Linked DNA regions of Yarrowia lipolytica. The protein of the gene in region 2 interacts with the protein of the main gene of each other region in a biochemical or structural test. Links are inferred from orthologs where the notes say so. Each region holds a gene or a part of one and is shown on either strand. Other genes may lie near its edges.

Evidence for each region. The genes of interacting proteins can lie anywhere in the genome.
Region 1: of the proteins of YALI1_E17037g (region 2) and YALI1_E27273g, one has a biochemical effect on the other in vitro, tested with the Saccharomyces cerevisiae proteins (2 studies listed by BioGRID). The link is inferred for Yarrowia lipolytica from reciprocal best matches to the Saccharomyces cerevisiae genes VAC8 and PFA3.

What each region holds. Positions count from the first base shown.
Region 1 is NC_090774.1:2,725,591-2,729,064, forward strand, and holds YALI1_E27273g (uncharacterized protein), read right to left. Parts: upstream 1,714-3,474; coding exon 508-1,713; downstream 1-507. Other genes in the region: YALI1_E27249g (uncharacterized protein), read left to right, coding at 1-42; YALI1_E27279g (uncharacterized protein), read right to left, coding at 2,130-2,309, 2,494-2,547, 2,633-2,659. UniProt on the Saccharomyces cerevisiae protein: Palmitoyltransferase specific for VAC8. Palmitoylates VAC8 at one or more of its N-terminal cysteine residues, which is required for its proper membrane localization.
Region 2 is NC_090774.1:1,701,360-1,705,639, forward strand, and holds YALI1_E17037g (uncharacterized protein), read right to left. Parts: upstream 2,409-4,280; coding exon 648-2,408; downstream 1-647. Other genes in the region: YALI1_E17014g (uncharacterized protein), read right to left, coding at 1-87; YALI1_E17065g (uncharacterized protein), read right to left, coding at 3,478-4,280. UniProt on the Saccharomyces cerevisiae protein: Functions in both vacuole inheritance and protein targeting from the cytoplasm to vacuole (cvt). Involved in the formation of nucleus-vacuole junctions (NVJs) during piecemeal microautophagy of the nucleus (PMN).

The sequences.
Region 1 (3,474 bases), about 1.0 Mb from region 2:
GACGTCAAGAAGAAGGGCAAGTCCGACAAGGATGAGCTCTGACTACATGGCTCCAAAAAGAAGGCCATTGAAATCTATGATAACCTGCGGGACCGTACCCAGGCCGTGTACCAGCGGGAGAAGCACAACGCCAGCTGCTTTTTTGTTTTTCTCTTCACCGCCGCTTGTGTGATTGCCATCAAGGCCCGAGGGTCTAATGCTATCAAGCAGCGAGCTGAGTAGAGTAATGTAATCGAGAATATGTTCAAGTGATAGTACAAGAACGAGTACATACTGTAGCTGTATGTACACAATTGAGTGGTACATCTACGTACTTGTATGGTATTAAAGGGTACAGTAATTTACCCGCATAGTATCTGTATACTGTCCAAGATCTGCCTGAATATGCATCTTTGTCTGAATGGGGTATAATATATCAGGTTAAATGCAATGTCTATATGCTGGAGGGGAGAGATAGCTTCCAAGAATTTGTCGGCCCCCGATTCATTCGTCGGCTACCTCTTATTCTCATTTCGTGTTGTTCTTATTGACCATGTTGATCAATGGAATGTCGTCTCCAGAGTCTTGGGCCTCGTCGTCATACTCATAGTGCTCCTGAGGAGGAGGCTGGAGATGTTGAGGAAGGTCGTACTGTGTGCGTTTTTGCTGTTGCTGACGCTGCTGCTTGATGTAGGCCTGGTTCTGGTCTCTGATTTGGACTTCCTTAGCCGCGGCCTCTCTGATCTTTTGCAGCACCTGTTTATTAAGGGGGAACTGGGTACCGTTGCCCCGGGCCGCTTCACTGGGCTGGATAGGCAGCAGCCACATCCACCACTTGTCGCCCATGACGAGCTGGAAGTTGCGTTTCCAGCCCACGTCAAACACGTTTCCGACCGTCTTGGACGTAGGCGCAAACGTGTATCTGTATGCGGCAGTGGGCACGGCAGACCGGTACTGGGTGCTTTCCAGAAACTCGACCGTGCTCTGGTTGTTGAACACGAGGTAGAGCGAGAAGGTGGCAAACGTGCCGACCGCGATGGCAAACACCAGTGCCAGGACCATGAGGATCATGACGTTGACGGATATTGCGCCCACGTAGTCTGTGTTTCCGTCCGGGCCGCGCATGGCACCAATCTCCAGAATGTGGTTGTAGAAGACAAAGCCCGTAGAGCCGAGACAGAAGAAACACAGAATTGTCACGTACCACAGAAACAGCACAAAGTACTTGTGGTTGTGGAACCCGATGGCCGTGGCAAACCAGGGGCAGTAGTGGTCAAACTTGAGCACGCATCGCTTGTAGTTTGAGCAGTGGTGTGATCGGTCCGGTTTCCAGCCGATGCATTTGGTGCAGAACCGTAGACCTCCATTCTCCTTGGCACACACGGAGTTAGCCATCTCTCGAGGAGGCGTGAGATGTTGGCCTTCGGCGCTGCATGCGTTCTGGTACTCAACCAGTGGCACCGAGAAGTTGTCGATGTCGGTGGGGCTTCCGGGGCCCACCTTGCATACTTTGAGATAGAGCACGTTGCACATGATGCCGATAGCCACGCCCGCCACGCCGTAGACGCGCCAGAAGGTGGTGTCGGACTCAAACAACTGCGGTTCCCAGCACACCAGCCATGCGTGGACCCAGCAGGCCCAGATGATGAGGAAATTGACGACGAGCGGCAGGAACGCCTTGGCGCCTATGAAGCACCATTTTTCGCATGCAAAGCAGCATTTGCGGCACTGCATTTCGGGGAGTCGAGTGTCGTGTGGCACGCGTAGGTTGGTGTGGTGATGGTGACGCACTCCACTGATACTAAGTTAGAGTAGATCAGATCAAATCGGTCAGACACGAAAAGTAAGGGAAAAAGAGAATCTCCAGGGTGAGCAGGATGTGTTTGTTGTTAACTGTTTTGTACACCGACCGATTGTCTAAGCAGATTGTCTCATATTCGATTATTCATCACTGTTACATGCCGTCTTATCTGGTCCATTTGCCACCATGGCTGTGCATACTCACTATATATGTACTAGCGCTACATATTCTACTATGCTAAGAATGATGAACTGGCAGAAATATTTGTATGTGGCATCCCCTCATCCTCGGTCAAATCAGAGATCAATTAATACTGGATCAACTACTTACTTGCAACTCATAATCTCGCTTAGTTGTACTTGTCGGAAAGGGTCTGGACAAGAGCAATGTACTCCTGCTCAGCCTCCTCCTGAGACTTGCCCTTGAGCTTGTCCCAGGCGTCCCACTTGTACTTGGCCTTGAAGTTGAAGGCGCCGGGTCGGTCGGTGTTGTTGTCGCCGACGGTGGCCTGCTTGTACAGTCCGTAGAGCTGTGTTAGTAGGGGAAAACGGGCCGGACTGATGATCGATATGGGCTGTGTTGCACCCTGGATAGCCCGTGGCACCCTGGTTCTGATGCGAACATGTGTCGTCAATTCAATCAATACATGTGCCCTTGTTAATGAGACACGAACAGACCCTCCGGGTATGCTCTCATCTTCTCTCAATACTCACCTCAAGAAGCTCGTCGTCGGAAGGAGTCTTGGGAAGCTTCTGCACAGAGTCGGCCTGAGTTAGTAACTTGGTTTTTGGAGCAATTGCGCCTTTGTGTCTGTGCGACTTGGTCGATCGCTCAATGGCGCCTGCTACTCACAGCGGCGGTGAATTCGGCGGAAGGCATGGTGGTAATGTGGGTGTTGTGTGGAGATGACGACACCTCGAGCGGTGTATATGGCGTTAGTTTTAGGGTTAGGGGTGTTACCAATGCGGCAACTAAGTGTGCATGCGTGCCGAGGTCCCATCACAATAGTGGCCCTTGTTGGAACCCAATCAATGCTGGGGGTTTTTGTTGAGACGAGCAAACGGACCTTTTTGTGGTAGCTGGGCGGCGCAAAGGGGGGTTTATTGTGTAATGTGAGCTGATCTGGAGTGAAAACTGGTCCCATTTAGTCCATTATACAGCTCTGTGAGCAACCAGAAAACAATGTGTTCTGACCCCAACGCTGTCTAGACGGGATCCAAGTGCATGATTAGCGCAATTAAGGGTGAAAAAGGAGATGAGATGGAGGGGAGAAGACGTACGATTGTTGTTGTTGTTGTTCGGTATTGATTGTTGTTGGATTTAGTTTACAGATTGTACTGCAACTTGTAGGAGTACGTACATGCTGTGGTTGGACTCTTGACCTCAAACTAAATACGTACATACTTCTAACTAGATAGTCAACCAAGGAACAACACGAGAGTAGAGCTCCAGTATATAGTTTAATGACGATGCTGTTCATATTAAAATAAAAAATGTGGAACTTCTGGAGAAGAACTGTGGTTATTACACCTCGGTATTCGGCCTCAGTTCATTATCGATGCTGATATACTTCCATTACGCTTTGATGAATGGCACCATATGACCATTATTATACAAGTGAACTGATGGTGCCTGAGGTCTATGCATTACTCGGAGCAGCAATCAAGATGATGATAGTTGTGCGGGTAGGACCT
Region 2 (4,280 bases):
CGTGTTCAACGCCGCCTTTTCGCCGTCCTCCATGGCCCCGCTCGCGGTCGTCTCCATGTGCCGTATGCTCGCTTCAGATCCATCCATAACTATAGCTGTCTGTTTTGATATGGTTGGTTTGTTTTTTCGCTTCCGGTTCCAATTTTCAAGTCGGTGTAGTGGGCTTGTTTTCCCCGTGGGAGCATGCTTATATCGGAGCTATCTATGCACGGTGACCGAGTTTAAAGGGGCTGTGCTAGGGGGGTGTACCACAGCCTACAACAGGAGCATTTCGGAGGACACACAGCATAGAGTGACCGACGGACCAACAGGAAGAGGACACGTGACCTTTAATCTCACCCGATTGTTGCTTTTTCCACTCTATCAAAACACGGTTTGCACCCTCAACGGCCCCACTGGTCTATGAAGCCGGCCCATTAAGATTGTCATCCATCTACAATTGTAGGTCACCACCTCCACTTTTATTCATCCACTCATGTGAATGAACAAGGTTACATTGTGCCTATTACAGGTAACACCGATAACAAAGTTTGTGTTATCTCCAAGGAGATATGACGATGGAAACTACAGTATCTACAACTCCAAGTGCCGATTACAAATACATTAGTTGTCTTCCTTCTCCATATATAATAAATCATCGCATCCTACTATTTGAGCAAAGGAGCCACCTTTTTAGCCAACATGACAACCTCGCTCTTGGAATCCCGCATGTCCTCTCCATCGCCGTCAGCCCCATCAGAGTTCATGCTGGATAGCTGGTGGATGGCATCGACAATCTCATTGGAGTTCTTGAGCAGATCCTTAAGACGCTGGTCCTTGGACTCCAGCAGCTGCAGCACGGTCCACACGGCAATGTGGCCAAACGTAGAGTCGCCGCTGGTGAGGAACCGGATCAAAAACTCCCGGATTCCTCCGCTGGGCTCGTTCCAGTGGTTGACAAACGTGTCGTAGTTGCCCACCTTGGAAGACAGGTTGCCAAGCGCAGCGGCACTGTTGCCCTGCACCTCAATGTTGTCCGACAAGGTGAGGGGAATCAGAACCTCAGCGATTCCCAGCTCCAGCAATGTACCCTTGAGCTCGTCTCCGAGAGCGAGCACAGCCAAGCATGCAGTCATCTCGCTCTGGACCAGTCGAGGAGCGTCCAGCACTAGCTCCTTGCACTTCTGCACGGCGCCGGCCTCGACAATCTCCAGCTTGTTCCGCTCAGAGCTGGCAGCGAGATTTCGTAAGGTGGAGATTGTGTGGCACTGAATCTCCTCGTTGTCGCTAGCGCCCAGCAGCTCCACCAGCGTCTTAAGGAAGCCGGCCTCAATGATGGGGGTCTCGTTGAGAGGGTGGATGGAGATGTTTCGGATGCAAGCGACGGCCGCAAGAACCAGCGGCGTGTGAGTGGATTGGAATAAGTTAAACAGGTGGGGGAGGCCGTTGGCCTTGACAATCTCCAGCTGGTAGTCGGAGTCGCTGGCGAGGTTTCGCAGAGCAAGAGCAGCCTGGCACTGGACCCGAGGAGAGCCGGAGTCCATCAGCTTGATGAGATGCTCCACCAGCCGGGGCTCCGAGCTAGACAGCTTCTTTCGGTTGGACTCGTCCACAGCAATGTTGGAAAGAGCGGTGGTCGAATAGTACTGCACATCGGGGTCTCGCGACGACAGCAATGACACCAGAATGGGGATGGCGCCGGCGTTGACCAGCTCCTGTCGATTCTGGTCCGAGTGGGTCATGTTGAGAAGGGCACCAGTGGCGTTTCGCTGGACTCGCATGTCCTTAGACTTGGCGAGCTTGGTGAGTGGCAGCAGAGCGCCGGAGCGAGCAATCTTGGATTTGTTGGCCTCGTGGGTCGCCAGGTTGGTTATGCATCCCACGGCGTTGCACTGCACCTCCACGTTGGGCGACATCATCTGTCGGATGAGGGGCTCGAAGCCGCCCATCTCGACGATCAGCACCTTGTTTTCGTTGTTGACGGCGAGGTTGCCCAGGGCAGCAGAGGCTGCTCGCTGGATGTCGGGGTCGGTGTTTTGCAACAGCAGCAGCACGGGCTCGAGGCAGTCTCGGTTGACGGGCCGGATGTCCTTCTCTGTAATTTCTGCAAATGCGAGGGCGGCACTTCGCTGCAGGTCAATGTTGTCCGAGTAGACCAGAGTGCTGAGGGCTCGGAGGGGCCCGTTGGAGAAAAAGTCCACTTCGCCTCGGTTCTCGAGGTATCGCAGCAGGAGAGCCACGGCTTCCCGTTCGTCCTCGGCCAGCACGGGCGCGTAGTTGCCGTCCTGTTTGTTTCCTGGGTTAGTGACGACTGTGGGGCGGGGGGGAGCTGAACAAGAGAGACCAGACATACGCTGTCGCCCCATTCTGTCTGCAGCACTTGCTGCCATCTTCGCCCTTGCAAGACCCGCTCTCTGTCTGTGTACCATACTCACCTGAACAGCAGCTCGCACAAACACCCATCTTAGCTATTAGTCGAGGTAATCAGAAGACGTGTGTATATTAATGGCGGTCAAGTATCCAATCTGTCGCTTCACCGGGATATGGACCAACTAGGCTTTCGAGATGTCGACGTTTGTGGTGGTGTGACGGCGGTCTTGTGTTGCTACAAGAGAGTGTGGTGTGTGTAGTCGTCGAAAGTGCAGTAGACTTTGTGTGGGAGGGGTGTGTGAGAAGGGTTGCACAGTGCACCTAAATTGAGGTAAAACGGGGGGGAGGAAGGGCGGCGGTGGGAGCTATGATGCACAAGTCCGGTGCAACAATACCAATATAGGGGCGACATAATCCACGTAATAGGAGCCTACATAGCAACGTGACAGGTGTGAGACCCTTGCCCCGATCCGGCAGCGACATACCAGCACCTTTCTCTCTTTCTCTTGACGCTTCCCTCCCGCTCTACCTTTGGCTCTTCTTTTTTTGGCGTGTGTCAGATTGGTAATTTTGCCGGCAATTATACTTTGAGATTCTGAGCCTCGCTTCCCAAACGGGGTTTGTTAGTACACGCACCCTCTGAACTAACGAACTAAGGGGCAAATGGTGATAATTGGTCAGACGGTACACTGGAAGCAAAATAGCCGTCAAGAGAGCCTGGGGTTACATGCAACGCATATACGGCGTTGGAAACACCGAAAACACATGTTTGGAACACCCGCAACCCGCTCCAAGTCAACTAATCTATGCCTCCTACAGTCACCCTACCGCGTCTCGTATATCGTCGTCTAAGCACGACATACTCTACAGTGCCCAGTGTATACTCTACTGCAAAAGCCCCGGTGCACCGGTTCACCAGCAGAAATCAAGGCTAGGGAGTCTCTTGGGGCTGCCATCGTTGGGGGAGGAAATCAGATTGCTATTTCAGACTGCAATCAACGTCGGGCCCTTGTAATTGGACCATGTAAATTAGTTAAATATCGGGCGCAGCAAGCCCGTGGGATTATCAGCGCTTGCTGCTGTAATGCTGCATGGTCAACTAGAACCCTGAAGCTTAGTACTTGTAGGTTAGTTGGCCTTGTAAGCAAATCTCATGAGATTGCTTTGAGACGAGCCAGGAACACGCTGCACGGTCAGAGGAGAAATGGCGCTCTTCTTGGGACGCGCTTGCGGTGTGGAACTGGGCGTGATTGTGGGCGTGATTGTGGGCTTTTTGGCAACACCAGAGGAGCCTGTAGGAGTCACTACTCGACGCTTGGGCGTAGAGGCATTGTATCCAAACTCCTCAAACAGAGTAGACTTCCGCTTGGCACAAGTCACAGGTGTCTGCGGTAGCGTGGTGTCTTTGTTTGGGGTGCCAAACACGATGCTGCTTTCTTCAATGTCATCGTCGCTTCGGTCAGGCTCTGAACTCAACATGGTATTGAAGTTGAAGGGCTTGTTCTCCTTCTCAGCCTGATCGGGACTCGAAGGGATGGAGAAAAAGTGACTGGAAGTAAGCGCGGGGGACGTCTTCGTTCGGGTTGGACTCAACATGTTCTCCGCAGAAGCTGTTCGCACAGCCAGGTCAACCGGCTTTGCCACCAGAACAACGGGCTTCTTGCGGCGCAGCTGTTCGGGAAGTCGCTTGACATCGCCTGTGTACTCATTTTTGGGCGCAAAGAATCCCCGTAGATCGGTAGGCTTGGCTGTCTTGTTGGCAGGAAAAGTCTTATGAGTTCGAGGGTGCACCAGTCCAGTGGCTATTGCTCGCGCCAGACCTTGTGGAATCTCGGCGCCAATGTGAAAGTCGACCTTTTCGTCCAGCTCATCTTCAGGCTCATTCAAATGTACCAGCCTACGAGCCTCGGGGCAGTAGACTCGTTGGTAGA